4 linked regions of the Canis lupus familiaris genome follow. The protein of the gene in region 1 interacts with the protein of each later gene in a biochemical or structural test. Links are inferred from orthologs where the notes say so. Each region holds a gene or a part of one and is shown in the gene's direction. Other genes may lie near its edges. The genes, in order: KBTBD7, GABARAP, GABARAPL2 and GABARAPL1.

Region 1 (8,018 bases):
ACCAGTTTTCTAAAATGGGTATACCAAATTATTATTCCTATATTAGTATATGAAGGTTCCAAAGGCTCCCTATCATCACTAACATTTAGTGTTTTTGACCTTTTTAAAATTTAGCCATTGTTGTGGGTATGCAGTGTATTCTCATCAACTTAGTTTGCATTCATCTAAGGATGAATGACATTGAACAGCTTTCTCATGTTTTTATTGAATATTTGGTTTAAGTATTACAAATATTTTTTAGGTTTTATTTATTTAATCTCTACAGCCAAAGTGAGACTCAAACTCACAACTCCAAGATTAATAAGAGTCGCATGCTCTTCCTACTGAAGCAGCCGGGTGCCCTTATAAATTAAAAAAAATAATTGTGTGTGTGTGTATGTGTATTGCAGACTGTGGCTTGTCTTTTTTTCACTGCCTTTTGAAAGGCAAAAGCTTGTAGTTTTAAGTTCATTTTATAGTTTTTTGTTTTATGATTAGTGTTTTTTGTATCCTAAGATCCAGAAGAAAGAAGCAGAGATAGTCTAGGTTTTCTTTTAGAAACGTTATAGTTTTCATTTCTTTGTTTAATATTGAGATCCATTTAGAATTAATTTTGTGTGTGTGGTATAAGCTAAGAGTCAAAATTATTTTTTTTCTTTTTTCTTTTTTTACATTGTGAACTGGTTGTTCGACACCATTTGTCGAACAGAGCTTCCTCTCCACAATGAATTGCAGTGATAACAATGCTGGGTTTCTAAAATTTTAAGTTCAGTTCCTCAGCTGAACTAGCCACATTTGAAGTACTTAAGAGCTACCTGTGGCTTCTGGCTACCTCCTCCTCAATCAGCACAAACATAAAATGTTCACAGGATCACAAATTTCTGCGGCAGCACTGCTCAAGACCTTAGGGCACTGCGTACTAAATACTTTTGGATTGTGTAAAAGGTAATCTAAACCAACTAACAAAGGGCAGATATAAGGAAGTTAAAAAATCACTGAAGTGATATGCAGTTCCTAAGGTAGTCAAATTCAAAAAGACAGAAAGTAGAATGGTGGTTACTAGGGAGTTGGGGGAAGGGGGGAAAGGAGAGTTACTGTGAATGGGTACAAAGCTTCAGTTCTGCAAGATGAAAAGAGCTCTGGAGATAGGTGGTGGTGATGGTTGCAAAACAAGGTGAATGTACTTAATGCCAGAGAATCTAAACAACTGTCTTAAAGAATTGTTTAAAATAGTAACTGTATATGTTGCCAGCATTAAAAACAAAAAAATTATTGTTTTTTTTCTCCCAGCTGTTTTAGTGCAATACTGATTGAAAGCAATCAGTAATGGTCCAATTCTCTCAAGTATATCTGAAGGATACCCAACAAAGGTACAGAGGAGATATTAGAGCTCAGTGCCCTGCTTAATAATGTTTCTCTACCCTGGAGTATTTCCAGTAGAAGGTCTTCAGTGAATAGGAAAGGAGAGCAGAACAATTTGAGTTACTCCCCTGCCCTGAGTTCTCTACCCACCAACCTACTACTAAAGATTTCACGAAATTATGCTAACGCATGACAAGCCAGTGGCAAGAGCAACATGATTTTTGAAGTAAAAGTTCCCTTAACACAAAACTCAATCTCTAAGCACTTGATATTGATGATTTAACGAAGAATGTGGATCAGTACATATAGAGAACACTTTTGTAAAGCATAGATTGAACTATATTAATTCAAAATACTGGGCAAATAAAATCTTTAATAAAAAGGGGGGGGGGGTCCAGATCCCTGGGTGGCTAGGTTGTTTAGCGCCTGCCTTTGGCCCAGGGCGCCTACTGGAGTCCCAGGATCGAGTCCCGCGTCGGGCTCCCTGCATGGAGCCTGCTTCTCCCTCTGCCTGTGTCTCTATGTCTATCATGAATAAATAAATAAAATCTTAAAAAAAAAATACTGGATAACCCAGGGGGCTCAGCAGTTTAGCGCTGCCTTTGGCCCAGGGCCTGATCCTGGAGACCCAGGATTGAGTCCTACATTGGGCTTCCTGCATGGAGCCTGCTTCTCTCTGTGTGTGTGTGTCTCATGAATAAATAAAATCTTAAAAAAAAAAACAAAAACAAAAAAAAAAAAACTGGGGCATGCATGAATACAGAGCTCTGAGGTCTGTTTGTTTAAATCTTTTAATCTACAACTCCCGTTTTTATCTCCTTGATAAAGATAACTACATAATCTTAGGCTGATTTGTGGAGAGGAAGGGAAACGAGCAGTATTAGACCAAAACATTCCTGCTAAAAGGTTACGAAAGGGCTTCTGGGTGGCTCAGCCGGTTAGGCGCCTGCCCGGGGTCCTGGGATCCGGCCCTATCAGCAGGGAGCCTGTAATCTCCCTCCCCCTCTGCCTGTCACTCCCCTGCTTGTGCATTCTCTCTCTAATAAGTAAATAAAAATCTTAATTTAAAAAAAAAGAAAAAAAAGCTTATGAAAGTAATCCTGCTCCCCCTGCGTAAATATTGATTTGGTGAGAGGTCAGCCCAGCTATGCATGTGCCTGAGCTGCCTGTTAGAGGCCTGAGCTGTATGTCAGAGGCCTGAGCCGCACGTCGGAGGCCTGAGCCGCACGTCGGAGGCCACCTCTCAACGCTGTTCGCCAGGACCTCATCCTTGTCCACGACACCCTAACGAACCTGTGGATCTCATTTAGTTCTGAAAAGATGGTGGTAGCCTTCAGAAGAACCCTTCAAAAGAAGCAACAGTAAAATTAAGATTCCTCACACAAATCGCTCACGGCTTCGCACGCGGGCACATTTTTAAAAACGCATTGGGAGACGCCACCAGTGGCTGAATCTGTATATTCCAGGCACTTGCAAGCATGTGATTAATCAGCAGGTATTCGCTGAAGCATCCTGGGACCTGCGCAAATCCACCTCGCTCCCACTCTCACATAATCCTATGAAAACTCGTATCCCCCGCTTTACAAAGAGGGGAAAGTTCTCAGAGAGAAGACCAATACCAAAACGGAGATTTTTTTTTTTTTTAAATAAAAAAGAACATCAAAGCCAAAGCTCTAAAACCAACAAACCCAGATTAACGCTTTTTCGAATTCTGTCAGCTAAAAGTCCGCCCGCCCGGAGAAACCTCGCGATATTCCTCGAACTACCACTCCCAGCGTGCACAGCGGCTCCGGCCCGCCCGCCGATCCCCTGGAGTCTGGAGGGGCCCCGGCATGCCTCGGGGCGCGAAAGGCAGCCTGGGAGCCGTAGTTCCGCTGGACGCCTACCGGTATTGCCAGCGCGGCAGTGGCGGCTCTCTCGGTTCCGTCCAGCCGGGTTCTGTAAGGCGAGCTGAGGCGGAGAAAAGGGCGCGGAACTGGAAGCGGGTGAGTCAGGCGCTGGCTACGCGATAAAGGGAGGCGGCACCGCGGCGCGGGGCTGAGTTGGGTAAGTGCGGCCCCTGCAGTCTCTTCAGGGAGAAGGCGAGGAGAGGGCGAGGAGGAGCCCGCGCCCGGTCCGTGCACCCGTTCTCGCCCTCGTACCCCGCCGCCATCTCCACCATGCAGTCCCGGGAAGAGGCTCCGCGCCCCCGCCGCCTGGCCAGTCCCCGCGGCGGCAGGCGGCCCAAGAGGATCTCCAAGCCCTCGGTCTCGGCTTTCTTCACGGGCCCGGAGGAGCTGAAGGACGCGGCTCACTCCGCAGCCCTCCTGGCGCAGCTCAAGTCCTTCTACGACGCGCGGCTGCTGTGCGACGTGACCATCGAGGTGGTGACGCCCGGCAGCGGGCCCGGCACCGGCCGCCTCTTCCCCTGCAACCGGAACGTGCTGGCGGCCGCGTGTCCCTACTTCAAGAGCATGTTCACGGGCGGCATGTACGAGAGCCACCAGGCGAACGTGACCATGCACGACGTGGACGCCGAGTCCTTCGAGGTGCTGGTCGACTACTGCTACACGGGCCGCGTGTCGCTGAGCGAGGCCAACGTGCAGCGCCTGTACGCGGCCTCCGACATGCTGCAGCTCGAGTACGTGCGGGAGGCCTGCGCCTCCTTCCTGGCCCGCCGCCTCGACCTGGCCAACTGCACCGCCATCCTCAAGTTCGCCGACGCCTTCGACCATCATAAGCTGCGATCCCAGGCCCAGTCCTTCATAGCCCACAATTTCAGGCAGCTCAGCCGGATGGGCTCAGTAAGGGAGGAGAGCCTGGCGGATCTGAGCTTGGCCCAGCTGCTGTCCATCCTGCGCCTGGATAGTCTAGACATCGAGAGCGAGCGGACCGTGTGTCACGTGGCCGTGCAGTGGCTGGAGGCGGCTCCCAAGGAGCGCGGACCCAGCGCTGCGGAAGTCTTCAAGTGTGTCCGCTGGACACACTTCAGAGAAGAGGATCAGGATTACCTGGAGGGGCTGCTGACCAAGCCCATTGTGAAAAAGTACTGTCTGGACCTTATCGAGGGGGCCCTGCAGATGCGCTATGGTGACAAGCTGTGCAAGGCTCTGGTGCCCAAACCAGATAGCAGCAGCAGCTGTGTTGTGCCCACAGCAGAAAACCCACCCCAGAGGCTGGGTATGTGTGCCAAGGAGATGGTGATCTTCTTTGGACATCCCCGAGATCCCTTTCTGTGCTACGACCCATACTCAGGGGACATTTACACCATGCCATCCCCTTTAACCAGCTTGGCTCACACCAAGACTGTCACTTCCTCAGCTGTCTGCGTCTCTCCAGACCATGACATCTACCTGGCCGCGCAGCCCAGGAAGGACCTCTGGGTGTACAAGCCAGCCCAGAATAGTTGGCAGCAGCTGGCCGACCGCCTGCTGTGCCGGGAGGGCATGGATGTGGCCTACCTCAATGGCTACATCTACATTTTGGGTGGGCGAGACCCCATTACCGGTGTTAAACTGAAGGAAGTGGAGTGCTACAGTGTCCAGAGAAACCAGTGGGCACTGGTGGCTCCTGTACCCCATTCCTTCTATTCGTTTGAACTAATAGTGGTTCAGAACTATCTTTATGCTGTGAACAGTAAGCGCATGCTCTACTATGACCCGGGCCACAATACATGGCTGAACTGTGCTTCTCTTAAACGTAGTGACTTTCAGGAAGCCTGTGTCTTCAATGATGAGATCTACTGTATCTGCGACATCCCGGTCATGAAGGTCTACAACCCAGCCAGGGGAGAATGGAGGCGGATTAGTAATATCCCCTTGGACTCAGAGACCCACAACTACCAGATTGTCAATCATGGCCAAAAGTTGCTCCTCATTACTTCTACCACCCCTCAGTGGAAAAAAAACCGGGTGACTGTTTATGAATACGATACTAGGGAAGACCAGTGGATTAATATAGGTACCATGTTAGGTCTTTTGCAGTTTGACTCTGGCTTTATTTGCCTCTGTGCTCGTGTTTATCCTTCCTGCCTTGAACCTGGACAGAGTTTTATCACTGAGGAAGATGATGCACGGAGTGAGTCTAGTACTGAATGGGACTTAGATGGATTCAGTGAGCTGGACTCGGAGTCAGGAAGTTCAAGTTCTTTTTCCGATGATGAAGTCTGGGTGCAGGTGGCACCTCAGGGAAATGCACAGGATCATCAGGGTTCTTTGTAAATATTTTGAAGCACTAAGATGTTTCTACTTCTATGGAATGTATCTTTAAAAGATATCCCTTCCTTTTCATGAAAAAAAAAATGTTGATTAGGACTGCAGATTTGGTTTAGAAAGGGTAACATTTGAATTACTAATGTAATGTTACAAAGTTAAACAGTCCATGAAATCAACCTATATGATAATTTATTATGCTAAAAGTCAAGATTAAAATATGCAAAAACAAACTATGTAACTGATTAGAATGCTTGGTGGTTTCTTGGTTGTTCGAGTATTTGTTGCACCAGTGGATTGTTTTGGTTAGTTTACACTGTTTATATTTTGATTATCTACGTTTGTCTTCTGTTAACGTTTTAATTCAACTTAGTGCCACAAGGAATTTAACTTTTTAATTTTTATAGTAGAAAATTGAACTAGAAATTGTTGGTAGGGTTTTGAAGGTTGTATTTTCTTTTAGAATAATGAAAGTAGTAGATTTCCCAAATTTTGAACTAGCCAGTTTCTAGTATTATAAGTTACTATCGTTTCTATCGTTTGTTAAATTTGGTGTGGTTTTCTCCCCTTCTGCAAAGAAAAAAAATTGGTTATATATATATATATATATATATAAATATATACATCCATCCAAATAGGGATTTCATTTTGATAATGTGCAGAATGGTCTTAAGAGCTCACAGAAAGTAAAAAAAAAAAAAAAAAAAAAAAAAATCAAGACTCCACTGCTTTAAAAGAAATTTCACTTTCAATTTTGGAATATAACATGTATTTCCTGAGTGCGGCCATTTTTCTGTCTTAAAAAACATTCATTCTAGTAGTGTCATCAATTATTTAAACACCCTTCTAAACCAAAAGAAAAAAGGTAACTTGCTTTGTAAGATCATATTTTTCATCTATACCTGATACACGCTTCATTGAATCAAAAGGAACGATCCTTTTTTTCACTGGACATGTGATTGAGTAATGTAAATGTTTATCCATTGGTCATGACTAGTCTTAAACAGTGTATATGCTTTCGTAAAATATTTTTGGCTGTATAGTTTCGGTTTTCATCTTAGAGGATTCTTCAGCAGGAAGTGATATATTCTTTACTGCTTTTGTGAGGTAATACTGGTTTTGAAAATATGTTTAAGCTGAAAAGAGTATTTTATTGAGGTCAGTCACTGTCCATCAACTATAAAATTAAATGCCAGCAGAGACCTTTAAAACTTCAGGCTGTGTATGGAACTGTTTTGTGTAGCATTGAAATGTTCTGTTGAGTTTTGTAAGTCACTGTATATGATTATCATCCCGAAGGTATTTTTGTATTAAAAGTTGACATCTAAAGAACATAACTGGATGATGCCATTTGGGGCCAATAGGGAAAGTTTATTTCCTGTAAAATATTTCCCTAGCAATGGTATACATGGTTATTTTATTAGGGTATTTGTATCTGTTCTGTATTTCTCTGTGAACCATGCTCCGGGCTTTGTGGGGTTTTGTTTTTGTTTTTGTTTGTCTTTTTGTTTGTTTTTGTGTCACTATAAAGTAAGGGAAAGTCCAGAACTAGAGACTGAGTCACACAAAACTGATACCGTTAAATACTGAGAAACAGAGATACTTACCTTTTTAAGGGTCTGTTAATACATATGATTGTCACAAAACACATCCATGATAAATGGTGTACATATATATATATATAGATACTTACAGGTTATAAATTTTTCTAAACTGACTTAGAATCCTCATTTTGCATCTTTGTTCAAAACGTTAATTCCTCTTACATATGTCTATTCTCTAGTGACCGAACACTAACACTAACATTTCTTATACCATGTCAGAGTACTGAGGACTGTGCCCCAGGATCGGGAACTGAATCTTGAATTTAAAAAAGAGAGAGAGAAAATAAATAAATAAATAAATAAATAAATAAATAAATAAATAAATAAATAAATAAATTAAAAAAAAATAAACAAACAATAAAAAAAACAAGTACACAGATGCTGTCATAGCCATTTGATTGGACATCTGAAGACTCCATAAGACATTCCCGTTTAACATTATTTCTAGTGAAATAAGATTCTTACTCTAGCCATGTGTTCTTAAGAATGTGTTCCCTCAAAACAGCAAACATGCTTTAGTAGCCATAAGACTAACTTTTGTTCCATTCGGTATCAGGGATGTTATAAGCACTGGTCTCAACTTAGAAAGCTGTTTCTTGATAGTGTTATATTTTTGGCCACCTTTTCTTCACCAATAACTTCTTGTTGATAAGTTTTTTGTATTGTAAGGTTGAAATAGGATAGTGCTGACCTCAACCAGATTATCCATCTGCAGAATTAAGGTATGCAACTGATTGACAAAAGACAGATTCTGCAGTTTGTCATTTTCATCCTTTAAGTATAAGCTAATTAACAGTAATGTGGTTTACAGAGAAGTTTCTTGAGGAAGAATTTGGTTTCATGACATATTTGTGAATTAGGGAATAGATGTTAACCATTATTT
Region 2 (7,873 bases), on another chromosome or scaffold:
TTTGGAACTGGGCAGCTACATCAAAGACCTCTCTGTGGTCCACAGTGACCTCTCCAGCATCGTCATCCTGGATAACTCCCCAGGGGCCTATAGGAGCCACCCAGGTATGCAAGAAGGCGGCCAGTCTGGCAGGACCGGCAAGTGGTTCTGAGGCAGCATTCTGAAAGCCAGGAGCCTGGGATTCCTGGTTTACTGTAGGTCAGGATGCAAGAGGTTTCTTTTACATGAGATGTCCCTCTTCCCTGATATACACCTTTCATAGGTCATGTTGCTCAGACCAAATTTGCTTCAGGTGAGACACAGGGGCAATGAGTTTGCCTAGAAGCCAGCCTCATGCTAATGTGAGATATGGTGATTTAAAATTAGTTTTATTTTGGAGGATGAATTAGGAAGGTTTCATTTAGGCTGCTGAGTTTGGGGGGGCGGGGGAGGAACCTATTTGAAAGCAATGATCCCCATTCCCAAATAAAAAGAAAAAAAAAAAAAAAGAAAAATCAGCTTGTCTCGAACTGTTTTTTCTCACGTGCATTTATTTTCATGTGTCCTAGACAATGCCATCCCCATCAAATCCTGGTTCAGTGACCCCAGCGACACCGCCCTTCTCAATCTGCTTCCAATGCTGGATGCCCTCAGGTAAGGGAAGCTAGACACTTAGGTTTCTGAGGAAAGGAGGTGGGGGATCCCAAGAGGGAATAAATATATGTCCTGTTTGACTTATTTATCTCTTTTCCCTTAAGAACTTAGCATTTGAACCCAGGCCTTCTTACAGTAAAGCTCATCACTTTTAGCCAGTGGGTTTTGGGCAAACTGGACCTCAGTTTCATGTGAGAAAGGTGATCATTTTGCCCCACATCTCCAATGAGGCTGCCTAACGCTAGTGTTTTGAGGACTCTACCAATGCAAGTTATTGTCGTCCCAGGTTCACCGCTGATGTTCGTTCTGTGCTGAGCCGAAACCTTCACCAACATCGGCTCTGGTGACAGCTGCTCCCCCTCCACCTGAGTTGGGGTGGGGGGGAAAGGGAGGGTGAGCACTCGGGATGCCGTCTGATGCCCTGTCCCATGGTGAGGACTGTCTGGGCAGGGTCTGCCCCTCCCGCCCCTCTCTGCCCTGGGAGCCCTGCACTCCACACGGAGTCTGGATGGACACATGGGTCAGACTCTGCAGCAGCCTCACTCTAACTTCGTGTTCGCACTCTCTGGAAACCCCAGACTGGGACATAAGCGGAGGCCCAGGAGAGTCCAAACTGTCTGGTGGAGACAGGACTGGCCAGAATGACACACAGACATTCGGTAATCCGGGAGGCTCAAAGAAAAGCCAAGCCAGCTTTGTTGTGATTTGATTTTTTAAAAACTCTTGTACAAAACTGATCTAATTCTTCACTCCAAGGGCTGGGCTGTGGGTGGGGAACTGGGATTTTGGGCCACTGGATTTTCCCCAAACTTGTCCCCCTGCCCCCAACCTTTCCCTCTACATTCCCTTCTTCCTATACTCTCAGACCTGTAACCGGCGCGCTCTCTTTTTCTTTCCTCTCTTTTAAACCATGCATTATAACTTTGAAACCAAAGCTGCCCTAGGTCCTTCTCTCAGGGTTGGGAAATGAGGGGAGGAGTCTTTGTTCACATCCACCCTGGCTCCCCAAAGCGGAGGCCGAGGCCCGAGGGTCAGGGAGCAGCGGTGCTGGCTCCGGAGGAAGGAGCAGGGAACGAGTCGACCTTTGGTGGGAAGGGTCTCGGCCGCAGGATGAGTGCCCTGGGTGGGGTCGGAGGGACAGCCGTGGGTCCCGGCGAACCAGAGCTGCAGGGCAGGAGGAAGCCGCGGTCCGTGAGCAGGCGCACCGACGTGGACGCAGAGAGTGCCCCGGCCCTCGGCCCCGCCCCCTCCCCTCCCGCCGGCGCCCCTCCCCCCGCGGCCGGCTCTACTTCCCGCGGCCGCCACGTGACGCTCCGCCCTTCTCTGAGATCACATGACTTTTCGTTGCTGCCAGTGCCGAAGGTGTTCCTCCGCGCTGACGTAGTCCCTACCTTTCGGACCTCCTCTCCGGTCCCCATTGGTCCACTCCTCCTGGGAACCTAGGCGTTCTGTGCGTTTCTGCGAATACCTGTTTCGTGTCTGCCCTCCTTTCTTCCCGGAGATCCAGCTTCTCCGTTTGGGTACTACTTTGTTTTGGAGTCAGCAGCCGCCTTCGGCGTACCGACGCGTTTCGTGAATAGCTGTCCTTAAAATTCTCTGCTTCCCCCCCTCCCCCTTTTCACCTTGTATCCGAAAAGACTTTTCGGAGCACCAAGCCTCAGAATACAATCGGCAGTTCCTAGCCCTTGTGGTGCCCAGCTCGGTGGGGCACGGCGGAATGTGGGTTTTCGGTTATTTTCGACCATAGCCCAGACCAACCACCTTGGCTACGTCGGCTGCGTAGCCCTCAAGCTGATTCCAAAGCGATTACGCAGGCAGCGTGAGGGGGGCGGTCAGTAGGTGGTGCTACGCCGGCGGCGTGAGGGCCGTTACGCTAGTAGCGTAACCCAGCGGGCGGGGCGGCCCCGACGGCCGGGGGCGGGGTTGGTGAATAGGGAAGTGGCGCAAGTCCCGGGATCGCTCCGCTGAGTCCGCCCGCGCGTCGCCGCCGTCGCCGCCGCCCCCCGTCCCGGCCCCCCCCCGGGTTCCCTCAGCCCAGCCCGGTCCAGCCCGGTTCCCGGGAGGATGAAGTTCGTGTATAAAGAAGAGCATCCGTTCGAGAAACGCCGCTCTGAGGGCGAGAAGATCAGAAAGAAATACCCGGACCGGGTTCCGGTGAGAACCATAGCCGGGGCCGCGGACGCGGGGCGCTGGCTCTGACGCCACAGCCCGGCTTGGGGTCCGGCGAGGCAGCGAGGGCATCGGGCTGCTGGCGGGGGTGGCCGGGGACCGGGCCAGGGGCTATCGTGTCCGGGAGCGGAGGTTGGAAGGAGCGGGGCGGCGAGGGAGCTGGGGGTGGGGGGCCGCGGCTGGCCGAGGGAGACGTGTGGAGTGCTGGGGAGGCTGCAGGGAGTTTGACAGTCGGGGCTTCCCATGGCCACCTCCCAGCTGGCCGGCTCGTCGAGGCCGACGCTGTCGTCGGCTCGCACGAGCCATGCCTGCCTAAGATCCTCGTTTATTATGACGCCCAGCCGGGGGATTCAGGATATCGAGGTGAGCCTGACGCTGCGGGGTCAGGATGCCTCTGCTTGAGGCTGCACCGCGTGTTCCCAGACAAAGAAAAACGAGTTGGATGGCTTGGGGTGCTAGCAGTTTTGTTTCTGGAGTTCTCGACGGGGTGACTGTGGGGCTGTCCCCCCTCGATGCTTCCTAATTTCCGTCTTTCTTTTTATAGGTGATAGTAGAAAAGGCTCCCAAAGCTCGGATAGGAGACCTGGACAAAAAAAAGTATCTGGTGCCTTCTGATCTCACAGGTGGGAACCTGACCCAGGACCCAGGTTTGCTGCCTGTGCGTGGGGGTGCAGTGTCGGTGGGAAAATGCTGCCTCCCCGTAGTGACTGCTCTTCTGAGGCCTTTTTTGATCCCTGTGACTTTATCGTATCTTGTCTCTTTGGCAGTTGGTCAGTTCTACTTCTTGATCCGGAAGCGAATTCATCTCCGAGCTGAGGATGCCTTGTTTTTCTTTGTCAACAACGTCATTCCACCCACCAGTGCCACAATGGGTCAGCTATACCAGGTATGGTGACTGGGAAGGAGTCAGGGGCTCCGCAGAGGTGTTGGAAGAGATTTTCAGGTCAGCAGTTCTTGGACTAGCTGGCTGGCTCTCAGTTTTACGTGTGACCTCAAAATTTTGAGGGTAGTCCCAGGTTGAGGGCTTGGATAAAGGTATTGGGAATAGAGGTGAGAACTACAGCAGTGCTTTGGATCCACCCTCTTGTCCACTTTCCCCACCATCCCAAGGCAGCAGATTTTGTGATCATGGTATCTCCCCTGCCAGGTAAGTATAAGGCAGCAGATTTTGGAACAGTTTGAGATCTTTTTGCCCAGGACTGCTGCCAGCGGTAATCTTGTTGGCTGCTAAGGCCTGGAGCAAATGAGTGAGTATGAGTCAGGGCACTAGCGTTTGGGGGTCTTCAGAAAGAACGGGCTTTCCAAAAAACGTGTCTGGGCAGTGGGTGGTTCACGTGCCCACAGCCCCGACGTCTGAGTGCCATAGTTTTCTGCCTCCATCCAGGAACACCACGAAGAAGACTTCTTTCTATACATCGCCTACAGTGATGAAAGCGTCTACGGTCTGTGAAGCTGCTGCCCCTGACGTGGGGGGGGGTCCGGTTCTACAAAGACAGAGGTGGCCCCCATCCTCGACCTACTCCTTCTTTGGGCTCATCCCTCACCTCCCTTTGTTGGGACCTGCACTTCCTAATGTTTGAGGCTCTCCTCCAGCCCTTCTCAGCAGGAGGGCTCATGGGGGAGGTGGCTTCTTGGACCTCTCCTTTCTCCCCTTCCTCTTCGACCTTTCCCACTCTGCTCTAGACTTCTTGATTGTCCGTCTCTGTCACATCCGGTGATTGTTTTGGTTTCTGTTCCCTAACTGCCCAAGGGGCTCAGAACCCCAACATTCCCTTCCTCTCATTACCTTCATTTTTGGGGGTAGAGGGAAGGGACTGAAATTGTTGGGGGGAAGGCAGGAGGCACATCAATAAAGAGGAAACCACCAAGCTGAACTGGATTTTACTTTGTGTTGCTTCCCGCCCCTTTTTTCCTAGTTGTCCTCTGGTGGGGAGAGTGGAGGTTGGAGGGGCAGTAATCCTACATTCTGGTTTATTCTGTTGATATTGGGTTACTGCTTGCGCAAAAGTATTTTTGTTGTGATCGAATACTCCCAAGTATCAGGTCATGAAACTATACTTTTATATACTTGTGTATTGGGTCCCAATGTAAAAAATACAGTGGCTTTTGTTTTTTTACTTTGGGTTCCTGGGGAGAAAGTAAGTATCCACTTTAGATAAATGCACCCAAGTTTGTTACAGCTTTTGGATGAAAGAAGAGATTTTCGTGCGTGGGAGCCAGTCAGAGGACTCTGTCCTGGGTTGCATCTCACTTGACCAGACTTGGTGCCAGTGGGTGGAATTCAAGGGAGCGAGAAGGGAGCCATTATCATCAGGAGAACTTCATCCCCCAGCAAGCATTTCTCCGCCTGGCCGGAAGTGGGGCGGTCCCCCGGGGGAGAAAGCAGCCGCAGAATGAGGCAGTATGGTGGCCGAGAGTTCTAATCCCTTCTTTTCCTTCTTTCTTAGTCCCGCCCAGCCTACATTTCCCAGGAGCCTGCGCGCGCTCTTCCGCTCTGCCCTCTGCTCCCAATCTCCCCGCCACTCCCCGGGGGAGGGGAGCGGTTTAGTGCGCCTGCGCTGTTCCTTGGCTTGCTGGGAAGTGAAGTTCCAGAGGCCTATGCGATCCCTTTTCCGCTGGCCCCGGACGGACTACAAGCCCCATGATGCATTGTGCGTCGGCGCCCGCCGAAGGGAGGGGGTAGAGAGGAGGGAGGAGGGAGGAGAGAGGAGGAGGAGGAGGGAGCAGGCGGCCGGCGGCGCGGGGGGAGGGGGCCCGGTCCGGGAGTGCGGGAGGCAGGGGTAGAGGGAGGTGGCGGCAGCGGCTAGCGGACTCGAGTCATAACCGGGCCGAGGCAGACACCTCTGTGGAGAGAGGCAGTAGGAGCACCGAGCACCGGAGGCGGCACCGGGATCCCCGGCTTAAGGGGAGGGGGGCGCCGGACCGGGAGGAGGGGAGGGGGCGATGCTGGAAGCCATGGCGGAGCCCAGTCCCGAAGGTGAGCTCTCGACCGGCACGGAGCGCTGAGCCGGTGGGGGGGGGGGGGGCGGGCGAGGAATCAATTGGCAAACTTGGAGGTCGAGCCCCGAAGCCCGGCGGGGGAGCGCGGGGAGGGGGTCGAGGGCCTGCCCCTGGAGCTGGGAGAGCGACGAGTTGAGAGACCTTGGTGAAAGAGGAGTGGGAGACCGGGCTGGGGGTAGTTGGAGATGAGACACCGAGAATGTGTGTGTTGGGGGGGTGGGGAGTGGGAGCCGGAGCTCCGGGGGTTAGGGGCCGAGAGGGCCTCCAGCACGTTGGGGCCTTGAGGCCGGGAGGTTGGGGGGGATCGGGAGCCCGAGAGTTGTTGAGGAGGGAGGATGTAGAGGAGGACTGAGTGAGGAGCCCGGTAGTTGGCCGAGGTGGGGGAGTTTGTGGCGGCGGTGCCGGAGCTCCGGGTAGTTGCCGCTGGAGGTGGCCGGGTGATTGTTGGAGGGCCGGGCAGAGAGTTGTGGGGAGAAGAGGGGGTCTGGGTATTGTCTGCGCTAGGGAGACCTGGACAGGGCGGGTAGTTGTGGGGACAGAACGCCGGGGAGCGAGGAGAGCCGGGTAGTTGTAGGGGCGGTGGGGCGGTGGGGCGGGGTGCGGGGGGGGGTGTTCAGACCGGCGAGTTGGGGGGGGGTGTTGGTCGGCGAGGGCTGGAGCCTGAGAGTTGCGGAGGGTGAGGGGGGCAGCGGCGGCGGCAGCGGCGGGGGTTGCCGTGGAGGGAGAGAGTAGCGGGGGGGGGGAGTGGGCGGCCAGAGTTTAGGGGTCCGCAGCCTAGTCATTTGGTGGTGAGTACGGGGGCGGAGGGGGGGCGGCGGCCGGAGGGCTAGGAACTGGGCCCGGGGGCCCGGCGGGGAGCCCGAGGAGCTCGAGACGGGGAGGGGCCAAAGCCCCGGATGGGGGCGGAGGGACGGCGAAATTGTGGGGAGCGCGGTCGGAGGGGGCAGGTGGGGCCGTCCGAGCCAGAGCTCTCCGGTCCGTCCCGGCCGCAGAGTGGCGTTGGATGTGTGTGCCTGTGTGTGTTGGGAGGGGGGTGGGGGTGAGGGGCGCGCCGGGCCTCGTGCTCGGGCAGAAGGGGCCGGAGGGCGGGGAGCGGTTCGGCGTGGTCATCCTGGACCCTGGGGGCCGGCGGGCTGCGTGTGCGGGCTCCGAGGGCCCCGGGCGGCGGATCGCAGCCGGGCGGGAGCGCGAGGCGCTGGGCGCGTGGGAAGGGCAGGGCAGGCGGCGGCCGGGGCTCGGTCCGGGGAGCGGTATGGCGGGGTGGGGCGCCAAGAGATCGAGTAGACTGTGGAGTCGAGAGAAACCGTGAGTTGGGGGGGCGGGGCGCCAGGCCTCCGGTGGGGGGAAGGGGAGCGCTATAGCGAGGCCGGGGAGGGCGCCGCGCCCTGACTCCGCCCCTCGCAGGGCGGAAGGGGGAGCAGGGGCGGGTCCAGCACAGCTGGGGACCTGCCGGCCTGGCGGGGGGTACCGGAGGCGAGAGGGGGTTCGGTTCGCTTGGGACTTTCAAGATTTAGAGCTGGGGCTTCGCACGGACTCTGCTGGTGCCTTGACTCAGCTTTTATTGCTTTCCCAGATCCACCTCCGACCCTGAAGCCAGAAACTCAGGTGAGCTTTCCTTTACCTTTGCAGGCCGGTATTACTGTCGGTGGCCCTCCCTCCCTCTTCCTCCTCCTCCTCCTCCTGCTGGTTCTAGATCGCCTACCACAGGGATTGTGCCTTCTTCGGGAAGGTCCCTCTTAAATTCCTTGTGATACAGGTTTCCTTCCTTTCAGCCTCCAGAGAAACGTCGGAGAACAATTGAAGATTTCAACAAATTCTGCAGTTTTGTCTTGGCTTATGCCGGTTACATCCCCCCTAGTAAAGAGGTAGGGACTGGGGGACAACAAGCTGAGGGGTGGTGGGCTAGGACCTTGGAAGGGTGCGAAGCAACCGGGACTGCTTTCCTTGATAGGAGAAATCTACCACATGTGAAATGGGTAACTGGTGGGAAAAATGCCCTAGGGGGTGGTTTTAATGAGATAGGTGGGTTGAGTAGCAGTGAATGGCCTAGGGATGGGGGGTGTTCATGAAG
Region 3 (8,239 bases), on another chromosome or scaffold:
TGTTGGATCACTATGTTGTATGCCTGAAACTAATACACCACTGTATGTTAACTACACTGAACTAAAAATTTAAGAATAACCATTAAAATAAGATTCTGGAATCGATGGTTCTAGTGTTACCTCCTGAGTGCAGCTCTACACCAAGGAAAGAGGCATTTGCCTTCAAAGTTCCTTCTTTCAGTAGAAGGAAACACATACTGTGGCTAGTGTCAGCTTAGTCACTGCTGAGAACAAGGTGGTGATTCCTAAGAATTTAGGTGTGTGAAGTGCCTCCCCTGAGATGCCATGAGCTTTGCAAAAGTATTTAATAATAATGGATACTAATACTTACTCTTTGCTTCCATTATTTGAAGAAGCTAATCTTTGTGGTCTTATTTTGATTCTTTAAGAGGGAATTTTATTTTTATTTTTATTTTTTATTTTTTTTTGGAATTTTAGTTTTTAAAAATGCTAAAGGTCTGTGTATATTGTGTCATTGTCATATATTCATAACTGAGAACTGACTTCTCTGTTTCCATTTCCATAATTTTTTCATGTTTCATAAAATTTACTTTTTAAAAAAGATTTATTTATTTTAGAGAGAAGGAGAGCACGTGAGTGGCGGGGAGAGGCAGAGAGGGGGAAATAAGCAGACTCCCCTGCTAAGTGCGGAGCCTGACCCCAGGATGCTGAGCTCATGACCTGAGCCGGAACCGAGAGTCAGACACTATACCTACTGAGCCTCTTAGGTGCACCTTCATAGAATTTACTTTTAAGGACAAAGAGAGTTGTTCTCTTAAAACTACACATTTTGATCACGTTCTACTCCTTTCTAAAAGCTCCCATTCAGGGTATCTCGAATCAGTTCAGAACGCCTGAATGTTCACATCAAGGCTTTCCAGCATTTGTCTATATTGCTTCCCAGTTCCCTCTTCTAACCCCAGTCTTTGTGTCTATTAAGCGAAGTTTGTCCTTTGAAAAATGTACACTTCTCTCTGACACATAAGATTCACATTCTCTGTTTAGTCTTTTTTGATAAGCCTCGCTTGGTTTGGTGTCAGCCCCCATTGCCCTAACCATCCTTCAGCATTCAAGTGCAGGACCTCTCCAACATCTGAAATTTATTCTGCATATTTTATAAGTCTGTTAATATATAACTGCATACTTTAATTATCCTATTTTTTCTTCTGAGTCATCTTTTCAACTAGCCACCCCCTCAAGGAAGGCATTCGGTATCTTTAGAACATTCAATAAGCTAGTATAATGACCCCATAGGTAAAGAAGGTGATGCATATCATCAGGGCAGATCAGAGAATCCAATTAGAATGGTGAACTGGAAAAAGACATCAAAGAAGTAAGTAAAGATAGAAGACAGAAAAACACTGCACCTTACGAAGACCATCAGGTTACACTCCTGTAAGGGGTGACTTATGGGATCTTTCCACTTTGATTCCTCAGTGTTTAATTCTATTTGCAAAATAGGTATTTTCAGTTTTTTCATTCACTCTCTAGCTGATCTCATCAGTTCAATAGCTTTAAATACTTCTCTCTTGAATTTGAGACTCATAGATCTATTCACTTACTCCATATATCTTCATTTGGATGTGTCCCTTGGGCATCTCAGACTCAATAGAGCCAAAACCAAACCTTGATCCCCACCTCCCCAACTGGCTCCACTCTATTTCAGTAAATGGCAATTCCATCCTTCTAAAAACTCTGACTTTGACTTGTCCCTCACACTTCATATTCAATCTATCATCAAATTTTGTTGGTTGGCTCTACCTTCAAAATATATCTAGAATATAATTGCTTCCCACCATCCCCACAGACATTATCTTGGTCTAGGCCAACATCATCTTCCACTTGGATTATCACAATAGCTTCCTAATTGTTTTCCTGACTTCCATTCTCAAACCCTTAGAGTCTGTCTACAAAAAAGCTAGCCTGCTCAGTTCAAAAGGAAAGCCATACCATGTCACACCTCTGCTTAAAATCCTCTACTTCTCATTTCATTCTAAATAACATCCAAAGTTCTTCACATGAAATTCAAAACTCAACAGCTGGGCAGCCCGGGTGGCTCAGCGGTTTAATACTGCCTTCAGCCCAGGGCCTGATCCTGGAGACCTGGGATCGAGTCCCACGTCGGGCTCCCTGTGTGGAGCCTGCGACTCCCTCTGCCTGTGTTTCTGCCTCTCTCTCTCTCTGTCTCTCATGAATAAATAAATAATCTTAAAAAAAAAAAAAACTCAACAGCTTTGTTACACATATCTTTGATCTCATCTTCTAACATACCCCCCCTTGCTAATTCAGCTCCAGCCACAAGGGGTTCCTTCCTGTCCCTGATTATGCCAACCACTTTACCTGATTAGCATTACCCCACTGTCACTCGTCACCAACCCTGCTTTATTTTCTAAACAGCGCCTACCATTACCTGACATTTGTTGTCTTATCCCACTAGAAACTCCTTGACAGCTGAATGTTCTGTTCACTGCTTTTCCTCAACACCTAGAACAGTGCTCCTGTATGCAGCAGTAATAATTTCTAGGTATGAAATTCAAAGGGCTTTTCACTTCATTAAAAACAAGCAAGCAAACAAAAGCCTATTTTGGTTGCTCAGACAATCTTAAAATAACCAAAATGCTTCTAGAATGAAGCTAGATTCCACAGCATCCATCAGGAATTACAACTATGGGAAATGGTGAACGACAATATTCACACATGCAATCCTTTCAGATGCATCAGAATCATAAGCACATGACAAGGATCATGTGCCCAATTAAATGAATATTCTTGTTACATATTCACCAGCTAGTAAACAGATGTTGACCCAGAGCAGACTGTCCTGATGACTCTGCTAGGAAGAAAGAGGTGACATCACTGGAGAACTCAAGGCATATGCTCAGGCAGGTGACACACGTACGCACAGCCTAGACTGTGATTGCTGAACTCCATGCTGACTGCCAAAGAAATTTGTCTCATGACTCTCAGGGGAATTCTCTCAGCCAGACAGTCACCTCTAAGTCCTCTGTAGTTAAGGTTAAGGGGTCTCTTTGTGATCAGTGAGATGTTATGCTCCTCAAATGTCTATTTGTGATACATGTGCTTACATGTTTAGTCAAACGTTTATTTATTCATGAAAAAAGGAAGGAAATAGGGTTTTGTTTAAATTCCATTTCTAGGTCCAAGGCCACCTGTTTTGGCTGTCTCCAATACTGAACCCCCGGCTTGTCATCAGAACCTCTCCCCACACAGGCCCCTCAAATTAGCCACACCCTCCAACCTGTTACCACTCCAAACAATACTCCCCAAACTGTCAATGCGCTAAACAGATCTCCCCCACCCCGCCATTATCGACCATCAGAGACCCCTCGTCTGTCACTCATGCTCCAAAATTCCCGACACCGAGACTTCCCTCATGAAAAGCCCTCTGAGCGCCCTATCCTATCAGCCAGACCCCCAAACTCCTCTTCCCGTTACCAACGTCCGCCGAGACCCGGTTCCTGTTAGCAGTTCCCGACAGCATCCCCTTCCCCGTCACCGAAACCCCTCCAGGACTGCCGGGTGGCCAACGTCATCAGCCCCACTTCCTCGTAGCCTCGCCTCGCCCCGCCCCGCCTCGCCGCTCGCCCCGCCCCTTTGAATGTGGCCACGCCCCCTGGCGCGGCGTCCCGGCGAACTGCGCCGGAAGCCCCGCCCCCGGCCGGTTGCTAGGCTCCGGCAGCCGGAAGTCCCGCCTGCCGTGTAGTCGCCGCCGCCGCTGCTGCCGTCGTTGTTGTTGTGGTTGGTTCGCTGAGCTCCGCGGCTCCGAGAGCCGGCTGCATCCCTTCCCCGCCGTCGCCATGAAGTGGATGTTCAAGGAGGACCACTCGCTGGGTAAGGCTCCGTCAGAGGCCGGGTGGTGGGGGTCGCGGCGGCGGGTGGGCCCCCTCCCCCACTCGGGCCGCCCTGGGCTGGGCCGGGCGGGGCGGATGCCGAGCTGTGGCCTCGGGTCGCGGAGGCCCCGGCGCCCCCGCCGGCTGCCCACGGACGCTGTGCCGCCTTCTGCCCTCCTGCCGGGAGGCGGGGGCCGAGGACCGAGGCCGCCGAGACGCCGTAACAAGGACCCGGGCGTGCGCAGGTCGCTGGGGGAGGTGGGTCGGGGGCGCGGGAAGCGGCGGACGAGCAGGCGCGACCGGCAGCCCCGTCTGTTTCCCACAGAACACAGATGCGTGGAATCCGCGAAGATCCGAGCGAAATACCCCGACCGCGTTCCGGTGAGTGCACTCCCCGCCCCCTCACCTCGTCGTCACCCCGTCGTCTAGGACTCGCGATAGGGCCCCGGGCCACTCAGCAGTTGATAAGTTGAGGTTCCAGTCCCAGTTATAGGAGCAGACAAGCCAGACGGGGCTCGGGGCCTTGGGGGCCGTGGCGTGAGGGGCTTGAGCAGGTGCTGTTCAGGGTGCCTCAGTGCTGAATCTCCCGATCTAGGCCAGCGAGCTGTCTGCAGCCTCTGGGCTCCCTCGCCAATTATGTAAGGAACGATGTTCTAGGACAGGGCAACAGGTCACTGCCACTTTTGGGAACACTGGTGGAGGGAGACTGTCACTTTGGTCTTAGAAGTGGTACTTTAGTCTCAGGACACTCATCTTTAACTTTGAGCCTCTGTCTTTACTTGATTTCTAGCTCCCTTTCCTCACTCTGACCCTGTCATCCTTTGCTGACCAAAAAAAATCTGAGAAGCCTCTGAGAACTCCCTTCTTTCGTGGTTCCTCCTTAATCAGTAATAAAGATCCTGTTTCTTCCGTGGTAGGGGTAAAGTTTCTATAATTCTTACTGATTTTTAGAGGACATCCGTGTCTGTTATTGTAGCTCTTTGTTTGAACAAGCAAAACTCTGAGGAGGGGTTAGGAGGGACACATTTGAAACCTAGTTCAGGGAGAAGCAACAGGCCAAATGAGGAGCTTGGTTTACTCATTCCCATTAGTCCATCCATTCCTCTCCCCTTTGTTCCTTGGGATCTTACTTCCTCTGTAGTGTGAAGGCAGATTCATTCTGGAGTCTTGGAGTAACTGGCTGTAGATGAAACCAGGTATCTCAGGTCTGCCCAGACAAAATGTCGAAGAGCTTTGTAGTAAGGGCGTGTGTTTCTCTTATGCTCGCTGAGATGCAGGATGATAAACATAATTGACCACAGAAAAGCACTTTCTGTTTCCATATCATACATTTATGTCAGTTCTTAACCTCCAGAGTTAAGAGTTTGTGGTTTATTAAATCAGGGGCATATTTTCCAGTGTTGTGCAGTTTCCCACCCACCTCCTTGCCCACATAGTATTCATCAGCTCCCTGGCAATGCAAGGCCAGAGCCTCACTTTAGAAACCCAGTCCTGATCTCTCTTTGCTTTCCCAGGTGATTGTGGAAAAAGTCTCAGGCTCTCAGATTGTCGACATTGACAAACGGAAGTATTTGGTTCCATCTGACATCACTGTGGCTCAGTTCATGTGGATCATCAGGAAAAGGATCCAGCTTCCTTCTGAAAAGGCAATCTTCCTGTTTGTGGATAAGACAGTCCCACAGTCCAGGTGAGAAGTGTTTACTAGCATTGGCCACCTGCTTGGCTGCTTACAGAACTCTAAACTTTGGAGGTGAGAAAACTCTTAGAGGTCCTGACTGGAAATCTGGATGTTGTGCTCCCTGACATGAGGAGCTCAAGGAAAATAAGAAAGGGCTACAGTATCTGGGAATATACTTTGGGTTAAGAAAATAGAACAAGGTTGGACTTAAAAAAAAAAAAAAATCTAGCCTCAGACCCTGATGAATACTTTAAAACAGTTCAGGATTTACTTAGGCTTAAGCCATCACTAGAACCTAAATGAGCCTAAAATTAGGTTTTCTTTAAATGACCCATGAAATAAGTCCTGTCGTTCTCCACTAGGGGCTTGTGGGCCCTGCTGAGGCTCAGCTTCAGTTAATCATCCTCCTGCTTGCTCTCCAAACTTAGTTCTGTGCCACTGCGAGTGTGTAGCTGTCTGATCCTCAGGTATGCTGGAATGGCTGCTGTCCAGCAAAAGGCTCTGAGGTCTCTTTACAGACTTACACCCCCCCTCGTAGCACCTGCTCCGACTGTCAGAGTAACCGCCCCCCTTGCTCTAGCTGTTGTGCTGCCTAGAAGCATTCTTTGGCATAACTTGGGGCCCGAGTCTTCTGGGGCATTATAATTCTCTTCTTCTGTGTAGTTGACAGCCCAGCTTTAGTCCCTGGTGGAAAAAAGAAAATGGACTGGCTCCTTCAAAATTCCTGGTCAGTCCTTTGCCATTACTGGTTGAGTATTAGCCCTTGAGCCAGATGCTAGTCCCTCTCCCCCGAGTGTGAGTTCCTGGCTACATCTCATCTTGGAGACTCCAAGTAAGTCTCATTGGTTACTCCCCTAAAGGTAGTACTTCTGCAAGCTTAGGCTTTCAGAATCCCTGGAACTATCCCAGTTTGGCCAAAATATGTTCCCTTTGAAAATCCTTGAAAGCTCCAGAAAAGACCTAAGCCAAAATCTAGTCCCTTTCCTATGACAGATAGCTCTGGCTATTTTTTTATCTGATTTACTTTCCTAATCTCCACCACCTCCATTTCCTGTGTTTGGCAGAGAGGTTGGGGAAAAATGAAAGGTTCTTCAGTAAGGTCAGTGTCCAGCCTGAGGAGATCCGCCTGGCCTGCCTGCTAGGTGCTGTTGGTCTCCTATAGCTGTTGTTCAGGAAGCTGTGGTGTTGGCAGAGGCGGTCTTGACACCTGGTGGGGCTCTTCCAGCCTTCCTTCCCCGACCTCCAGGCAGCATGGTGCTGGGTTCATCAGGTTAGGAAGCCCTGGGCATCTGTAGTCGTAACTCAGCTTCTCTTAAGGTGGTGGAGAGGTGAATCTTCAGTCATCACACTGCTGATCACTTGACAGCAGCACACACAGAACTGCCACAGGGTCTCCTGCTAACTCCATCTCCTGCAGCTTCTGCAGAGTCTGGGTAACTCTGTGTTTCCTCCTTCCTGGCAGTGGCTTCTTAGGGAAGGAAGCAGGTGTCTAAGACCTGTGGCTTTGAATTTATTTGATCAATTCTTCTGATTTTTCTTTTCCTTTTCCTTTTTTTTTTTTTTTTTTAAGATTTTATTGATTTATTTATGAGAGACACAGAGAAGGCGGAGACATAGGCAGAGGGAGGAGCAGGCTCCTCGCAGGGAGCCCGATGTGGGACTCCATCCCGGAACTCTGGGATCATGGCCTCAGCCGAAGGCAGACGCTCAACCACTGAGCCACCTAGGCATCCCACTTTTGATGTTTCTTAAAGGAGATGTGCAGGCTTCTGGAGACACTGTTACTCTGATGGCCTCATGTTAATCTAGCAATTAAAATGGCTGCAGATTAGCAACTGCCCCCTCCCTCCATTATCCCTGAGATATAAATAGAATTGGAAATCAAAAGTAATTCTCAGGGCAGCAGAGGCTGCTTCCTTTTCTCTCCCAGTCCCATTTGCCTTTCCAGCCTGGTAAGAATCTGCCCTAAAGCAGATGACACCAGTGACCCCTGTCAGGATTTTAGAGAATCGCTAACCAGGCTTCCTCTGCCCGGGCCTTTGGCCCCAGTTAATGACTTTCTGTCCCCACACTTAATACAGCGATTTGGTTTTTTTAAGAAAATTTGTTTCTAAACAAAAGTGGTATATGACATCACTGGGCCTTATGCAAATACTGATCACTTGACAGCAGCACACACGGAACTGCCACAGGGTCTCCTGCTAAAGCTAATGTGTGACTCAGTCCTGCCATCTCCTCCCCAAGGCACGTTAACAGCAGCCTCTTCCTCAGCTCCTTCCAGCCTCCTTAGGAAGTGCGGGGCCTCAACCTTCCACCAGTGCTTGCAGCCTTCAGAAAGTGGCTGGGGAAATCAGAGTTGGAACGGATGAGTCCAGGCCTAAGGAGGCTTCTCCCATCCTATGACAGATTTGCGTGAGGATCACTTGAGAGGTGGGAGGTGGAGCTGAAGTAACTTCAGTTATTCTTGCCTTGCAGTGGGACTTTCGGAGTATTCTGGAACACAAGCGATCATGTAAAATGTGGTTATTGTTTAGACTAGTGAGTATTAAATACTGATTCTAGAAATAGAGACCAAGGCAAGTCCCGGAGTTTTACTTCCTAAATTCTGAGTTCTGTTTTTGTTTTTAAAGCAGGGCAGAGGGGGTAGGATCTCAACTCCCCTTTCCCATTTAGCATTGGAAAGTTGAATTCTCAGCCTAGGATCCTGCAT
Region 4 (6,968 bases), on another chromosome or scaffold:
GACATTGAAAATCCTTATAACACCAACCAATATTGATAAATAGGTTATCATAAGTGACTTCACGTTACAGGATCTCATACTCTAAGTACTATTCAGTACTTTCTTTGACTTAATAAGACAGTGCCTTGAACATTTTTTTGCAGTCACTCTAGAGAAGTTCGACAAAGTACAAAATGTAAATCCCATTTTATCCATAACTTTAATTAATGCCATTCATTAGAAAGAATAAAACCAGTAGGTACGTAGGAGCATCTGAAGAAATGCACAGTCCTTTTGATGCTCTCAGTAAATACCAGGAAGTATAGATCCTATACCTGGGAGGTAACTTGTAATTATTTAAATCAAGGTTCTCTTTACTTTTCATCTCATGCCCTCCATTTTCTTCTTATTGCAGTAATAGAACTACAGCCTTACTGATGAAGATCATGTACCCTTTGGTTTTGTAAGATAAAAGGAAATGAGAAATGGGAACATTTTATTGGGTCTAGACAAACATACTTCAAATATGGCAGTTGTAGGATGTGGAAGGAAAAATACTAGATTAGATTCTGTATTTTTCATTCTCATTCTCCTCCCGCCCAGGTGATTGTGGAGAAGGCTCCTAAAGCCAGGGTGCCCGATCTGGACAAGAGGAAGTACTTGGTGCCCTCTGACCTCACTGGTAATGCTCTTTCCCTCTCTAAATCCTCCCTCTATGGCAGAGCCTCGTTGGTCCCTCCTGTGTGCATGAGCTTGGGGGATTGAGACGAAGTAGAGTTGATGTGGGTAGGATTCTTCAGAGACTTGGGGGACTCAAACATAGCCAGATGATCTTCCCAATTGCCAGTTCCCTTACACATTTTCCATCACAATATCTTGTGTGGTTTAGACACGGTAGAATCCACATCGTTGCAAAGCAATGACCAGATGCCCACATTTTTAAACCACTTAGAATCTGCTTTGTTATTGTGATACCAGTTTATTCCAAAAGGAAAGTCAGAGGGAGGATCACATTTTAGATTTTCAGCTGAATACTTTGTCCTCTCAAGCTATGGTTTTTGATAATATGTCTTGTAGATACTGTTTGCGATTACAGATAATATATTAATTCTTCACCTTAGTGATCTTTAATGGAATAACCAGTGGTTATACAAATCACTGGAAAGGTTTTGTAGATGTGTTTGCCTTAGAGTTGTTAGATTTGAATGTCAGCCTTCTAGAACTTCTCAGTATGCTTGGTAGAAGGTACAGCATTGAACCCCACTCATTGCCTGGACTTTGGGATGGGCGACCATGCTGAGATTACTGGAGTCCAGTAGACCTCTCCACATCACTGGTTTGTCATAAGGTGGGAATGAGGATGGAAGTGCATTTCAGATCCCCTTGGGAGAATGATAAGAAGAGTATTTTGGTCTCGATGTACATAGGATTCCCTCAAAGTCATCAGATTTTGAGTGGATAAGCTAACATTAAGTTTAAAACTGAGTAAAGAGGGAAAGGATTGGAGAATAAGCTTCTTAGTGGCCTGTCTGGGAATATGGAGGCTTATTAGAGTTGCATTTTCTATTTCTACAGCTATAGGACTGTATTTGGTTCTGCTGAGATTTTCTCTAAAGCTGGCACTTTAAGCGGTGGAGCAGGTGCAGCAGATTTTTTTTTCTTTTCTGGGCCTTCCCCTTCTCATAATCCCTTGTCTTCCCTAATTGCCTTCCTTTTCTAAAACCTTCTTCCTTTATCCAGTTGGCCAGTTCTACTTCTTAATCCGGAAGAGGATCCACCTGAGGCCTGAGGATGCCTTATTCTTCTTTGTCAACAACACCATCCCTCCCACTAGTGCTACCATGGGCCAGCTGTATGAGGTAAGTGTTCTGGTCACGACAATACTGTGTAGTCTCGTGTTCTCTAGCCTTTGTTCTGGAGTCTGTTGATAACACACCTGGGAAGTGGGGCAGGAGGTGTTACTTCCCTGTATCCACTTACACACAGCAGTGTAAGGCTCTGAGAGATTAAATGTCACTTGTCCTTTAGGGATTGAGCTGACTACTAGATTCATTCTCTTTGAGCTTTCAGTTTTGCCTTATTCTAGGGTTCTAATCTTGGATCATCTTTATTGAAACAGTAAGAAATTGTTTCTGATTGCAAATTCCAAATAAAATGAAATTTAAAATTATAAGGCAAAGCCTTTAAATTGATTCATTTGTCTTAACAGATAAACTCAGTTGGAGAGAATAATTTGCTGATTTCATTTGGTTTAATTGGTAAGCTGTCAGAATCTAATGAGAAGACTATTGGAAAGGACTCGGTCATGCTCTGTCACCCAGTTTTGTGGCTATATTCTTCCTTAAAGGATTTTACATTGTACTGCCTTCTTATTGTGCCCTGTGAGTTAGTGAATTGTGTAAACTTTCTAACAATCTCTCAATCTTATTTTTATTCCATAGCATATATTTCCTGTTAGTGTATATTCTGATATATATATATATAGTATATATATAGTATCTGTGTTCCCTTTTGCTAGAATGAGCTTTTTAAAGGGTCATGTTGTTATCCCTGATGTTTGTACGTATCGATACTCTTCTTGAAGATTTTTTGTGAACTCAGAAGTTGAATTCCAGTCACTTCTGTGTATTCTTATTTTTTGGTCAGTGGAGGCTAATGATGCCTTGCAAAACCTGCTTACCTTGTGTGAGGCTCAGAATCCTGAAGGTAATGAGTATGATGTTTCCTCTTGTTTCCTCCCTCAGGACAACCATGAGGAAGACTATTTTCTGTATGTGGCCTACAGTGACGAGAGTGTCTATGGGAAGTGAGTGGTGGAAGCCCAGCAGATGGGAGCACCTGGACTCGGGGGTAGGGGGAGGGGTGTGTGTGGGACTTGGGGAAAGAGAGGGAGGGCTCCCACCGTGGAGGAGACAGAAGGGGAAGACATCTGGAAACACTACACCGCACACACCGTCATCATATTTTCACATGCTCAATTGATAATTTTTGCTGCTTCCTCGGCCCAGGGAGAAAGCATGTCAGGACAGAGGTGTTGGATTGGCTTTGATAGAGGAATGAAGATGATTTAATGTCACAGCATTTCTGTGAATTAATTTCTGTGTGACTTCACAGAAGAGGCAGGAGGTGGGCAAGATGGGGCCAGAGATGATTGCAGACCACCAGTAACTTCCTGCTCTCCTTCCTCTTCGGGCAGAGATTCTATTTTTGACATTTGCAGAAGACAGGTAGGGAAAGGGATGAGGATGTCTTAGGACCACGAGTAGTAGATCATTCCTAGGGACCAAAAGAGACCCATTGTAATTAAAGCGTTGTGACCTTGACCTAGCTCCACACCTCCCCATCCCTGTCATAATTCCACTTACAGACACCACAGCACCACCTAGTGGTCCGGATAGCCATTAGGCAGATATTTAGATGGAGCGTTCTCACCACTGGAATACAGGGGCCAGGCATGAAGGATAGTTTGGCTATTAAGATCGTTTTGGTAGCATTAAACTGGAATTGACTATGTTGAGCATCTCTGTCTAACCTGCTCTCTCTCTGGTGCCCCTTATCCCACACCTCAGTGAGGACAACCATTTCCCATTATGGGCTAAAACCTCCTTCAGCATTTCCCAAACTTTGCTCCATGTGTAGGGACAGAGATGTCCTATGTATGGAAGGGGGGCAGGTATGAGGTAAGACAGCTTGTCTATGCCTCTGCCTCAGCCAGGATTCTTGTTCCCTTGTTCCCGCCTCTTCAGTCCCAGGCACACAGATCTGCTAAGTGATGGCCAGCTGCCTCCTGACTTAGGTTTCCATGTAGTGCAGCTGCTAGTTAGACAAGTGTGAGGGAATGACTTAATACTAAATGGGGATTCTATGGATTCTGATTATTTTCACTTTTGGGGTTATGTGGGTGGGGGCGGGGAGCAGGAATCGCACTCAGACGTGACATTTCAGTTCATCTCTGCTAATGAAAAGGGTCCTTCCTGTGGGAGAAATCTGTGTCCGTTTTGTCAGCTGCAGATTCTTGTGTAATGAAGTTTATGCTGTCAGGCCAAGGAAATAAAATAATTGCATACCTTGAAAACCAACCATGAGTTCAGAAATGTTGCTTTTATTGACTGTACTGTAGAATAGGTGGTGTGTGGACTCTGAGCAGAAAACTGAGTGAGGGTGGCTGTTAGAAATGGATGCTCACGTATGTCAGATGTATAGAGGTTTAAGTAAACCTCTTTACTTACCACGAGTTGTTATTCAAAGGTGAGCGTGGTGGGGTAGCATGCCTGGTGTGTTGGTGATACGTGTGTGATTTTCTGCTCCACAGATAAATGCTTTGTCATTGGTTTGTGTGTTTCTCAAAGCTGAAGATGGAACACTGCCTGGGTGAGACTATAAGGGGTAAGGCGGGGGTGTAGTTATTAAAAATGCAGATGTCTGGGTTTCATCCTACATTTAGCTGAGTCATTCTCAGCGTAGGTGTCTGTGGTGTTAACCAGCTCCTCCTGATTCTGCTGCATGCCGAAGGTGGAGAGGCATTGCTCTCAATACCTGGTTTTGTTTTGAGTGCCAACCAAACCTATTCTGTCTGCCACATTGTGGTTGGTGTGAGGCCACCATCTCCCAGAGCAGCAACTGGCACATACGTAAGGCTCCTGAGGTCAGAACAAGCTTGGTGTCTTCTGACCATATGAGAGTTTTTCATTCATTCATTTGGAAGCAAAATGTGGATGGGCAGTGGGGGTACAGGTTATAAGATGATAAAAAACCAAAGTAGTGGAAACTCCTTTTTTGACCTTAAAAGTCATGTCTAATTCTCTTTAATCTCTTGCAGCTGTGTGTCCAAGTGGAATCTACCTTTGTAGACTTTTATGGACTATATGACAGTCACCAGACAGACAGAAACAGGTAGTTACAAAAGATGGCAAGATTTCACCCACCACCAAACCATGTCCAGTGTGTACTGGTTGAGAAAGTTAAGTCAGGATTCAGAGGAAAGGAAGAAGTCCAAGCCCGGCAAACACAACATGCAGAGAATTATGGGAGACTCTAAGGAATTTGGATTTTGACAAAAAAGACTTAAAAATGGACACCTGTCACTACTGACAGAAAAACATTGGGGCATTGTCTCTGCCAAAATCAAATGGAAGCTAATATTTGAATTAAGATACAAACTATATTATGAAACTAAAAGACTTAACCCACTAGCGAGGAATGAGATTCAGTGAATGTTTAAAAGCAAACAAATACATGGCAGATCCCAGATCTCTATACAAATTGGAAACCGTCCCTGTAGTGAGTGCAGGAGACCCGGGCCATTGCTAAATCAAAGTAGTAGTTAGTTTGGAGGTTCTCCCTGAGGCAGCCTTTTATGCCAGTCCTCCTTATCTCTGGATATTCCTGGTAGGAAAAATTGCTCCTTGCGTGGGACATTTCATGCCATTTTAGACCAGCCCTCTTCTAATTTTATAGGTCCATAAAGCTGAATAACAGCTAAGTGCAGAGCCAGACCAGATACTTGAGTGCTGTGTCTGATGCTCTTTTGTGAACCATATCTCTCAAGTGTGTCTTCTGGTTTCCTGCTAGGGAAGCTTTAAAGCTGCTCTGTGTCATCAGGCAGTTGTGTCAGTCTTGAACTCTATAAACACTTTTGGAAACGCCTTTTCATTAACCTTGGCCTCATGTCCCAGGTAAGATCGACTTACCTGATACTTTCTTCTGGAGACCAAGGTTGAATGATGTGTCAAAAAGCCCATTCCCTTGGAGTCCAGTATGCCTCAGTAGCAGAGATGAGTGAGTCCTTTGCTATATTTTGGTAGAAAGATCTCAAATACTAGCATGTCATATGAGCCTAGATCTGTTTCCCTAGGATAGCCTTGAATCATTCCTATTGTCCTGATTGATACATTAATGGTTTCTTATTTCACTGTCACAAGTTTCCCAGTGGACAAAACATATGGTGCTACTCCTTATACTAAGTAAAAAAAAAAGAAAAAAAAAAAAAGAAAGAAAGAAAAAGAAAGAAAGAAAGAAAAAAAGAAAGAAAAAAAGTCTCTTTCCACTCTATCAAGAAAAAGAACGCCTGTGCCATCCAGACACATCACGCCCCAGTACAGCTCTTCTTACTCTGTGCGGGTGATGACTAGAAAAAAAAATGCCACTTCGGAATGGCAGATTGTACTGCCTTATTTTGTTTTTCTTTTGTTTCCTTCCTCAGTGCAGAATTGTTTTCTTCCTTTAAAGCACTGTGCACTTAAAAGCACAGTGGTAACTAGGCAAGCAGGTGCGCTGCCTGGCGCCACTCCAGGGTGTGCTGCTATGGCTCAGTGTGAACAGTGCTCCCCAAAGAGGGTGGCACAGCTCTCTGGTCGTTTCAGTGACCTTCGAACACAGTATTAAGGATTGCTAGTTGCTATGGAAATGTTACATTCATTAAGCAGTTTTACATTGTGGTTTTATCATTAAGCAAATGGAGGTATGGTATGATTTTGTCGTTTTACATCTGGGCCTGGGGCATACATGTACACTTGCCCATGGATACAGTGCCAAGTCAGTTGGAAAGAACAAATTCAGTCACTTGTGGAAAATAAACAGGTTGATAAATTGATTCCATCCAGTATTTACAGAACTTAATCAACTATTCATTGCTGTGTTTTCTTTTGAATCTTTTTTACTCAGATTTGAACAAGCTCCAAACATTCATCATTGTTTTTTTTTTCCCTCCTGCATGAAACCACCAATTATTTACAGAAACTGGCCCATTTTGGCCTGGGGTGGCTCTATTCAGTACAACCCTGAGTAACCAAGTATTTCTTTCCTATTCCTTGCCTGCCACGCACCTCTGCACCCGCCCCTCTGTTTACCTGGGTATTACTGTGTTAACGTGTTAGGTTTCATCAGCTTTAGCCTTTGGCACACTGTCCTGTGGATGACTCGGGGCTGTGGAGTAGCTTTTTCTCAGCTACTTTGGTACATGCTTAAAAAAAAACAAGAACAACAGAAAC

The links.
Region 2: the proteins of KBTBD7 (region 1) and GABARAP form a complex in vitro, tested with the Homo sapiens proteins (2 studies listed by BioGRID and IntAct, with this or other methods). The link is inferred for Canis lupus familiaris from reciprocal best matches to the Homo sapiens genes KBTBD7 and GABARAP.
Region 3: the proteins of KBTBD7 (region 1) and GABARAPL2 form a complex in vitro, tested with the Homo sapiens proteins (2 studies listed by BioGRID and IntAct, with this or other methods). The link is inferred for Canis lupus familiaris from reciprocal best matches to the Homo sapiens genes KBTBD7 and GABARAPL2.
Region 4: the proteins of KBTBD7 (region 1) and GABARAPL1 form a complex in vitro, tested with the Homo sapiens proteins (2 studies listed by BioGRID and IntAct, with this or other methods). The link is inferred for Canis lupus familiaris from reciprocal best matches to the Homo sapiens genes KBTBD7 and GABARAPL1.

The regions. Positions count from the first base shown.
Region 1 is NC_049243.1:9,370,781-9,378,798, forward strand, and holds KBTBD7 (kelch repeat and BTB domain-containing protein 7), read left to right. Parts: upstream 1-3,217; 5' UTR 3,218-3,500; coding exon 3,501-5,540; 3' UTR 5,541-7,248; downstream 7,249-8,018. UniProt on the Homo sapiens protein: As part of the CUL3(KBTBD6/7) E3 ubiquitin ligase complex functions as a substrate adapter for the RAC1 guanine exchange factor (GEF) TIAM1, mediating its 'Lys-48' ubiquitination and proteasomal degradation.
Region 2 is NC_049226.1:32,411,594-32,419,466, reverse strand, and holds GABARAP (gamma-aminobutyric acid receptor-associated protein), read left to right. Parts: upstream 1-2,578; 5' UTR 2,579-2,697; coding exon 2,698-2,787; intron 2,788-3,346; coding exon 3,347-3,425; intron 3,426-3,569; coding exon 3,570-3,688; intron 3,689-4,186; coding exon 4,187-4,252; 3' UTR 4,253-4,676; downstream 4,677-7,873. Other genes in the region: CTDNEP1 (CTD nuclear envelope phosphatase 1), read left to right, coding at 1-104, 549-633, 920-980; PHF23 (PHD finger protein 23), read left to right, coding at 5,746-5,779, 7,376-7,407, 7,575-7,667. UniProt on the Homo sapiens protein: Ubiquitin-like modifier that plays a role in intracellular transport of GABA(A) receptors and its interaction with the cytoskeleton.
Region 3 is NC_049226.1:75,812,835-75,821,073, reverse strand, and holds the start of GABARAPL2 (gamma-aminobutyric acid receptor-associated protein-like 2), read left to right. Parts: upstream 1-3,203; 5' UTR 3,204-3,818; coding exon 3,819-3,852; intron 3,853-4,176; coding exon 4,177-4,232; intron 4,233-5,365; coding exon 5,366-5,538; intron 5,539-8,239. UniProt on the Homo sapiens protein: Ubiquitin-like modifier involved in intra-Golgi traffic. Modulates intra-Golgi transport through coupling between NSF activity and SNAREs activation. It first stimulates the ATPase activity of NSF which in turn stimulates the association with GOSR1.
Region 4 is NC_049248.1:10,357,839-10,364,806, forward strand, and holds the end of GABARAPL1 (gamma-aminobutyric acid receptor-associated protein-like 1), read left to right. Parts: intron 1-582; coding exon 583-661; intron 662-1,719; coding exon 1,720-1,838; intron 1,839-2,723; coding exon 2,724-2,789; 3' UTR 2,790-4,058; downstream 4,059-6,968. UniProt on the Homo sapiens protein: Ubiquitin-like modifier that increases cell-surface expression of kappa-type opioid receptor through facilitating anterograde intracellular trafficking of the receptor. Involved in formation of autophagosomal vacuoles.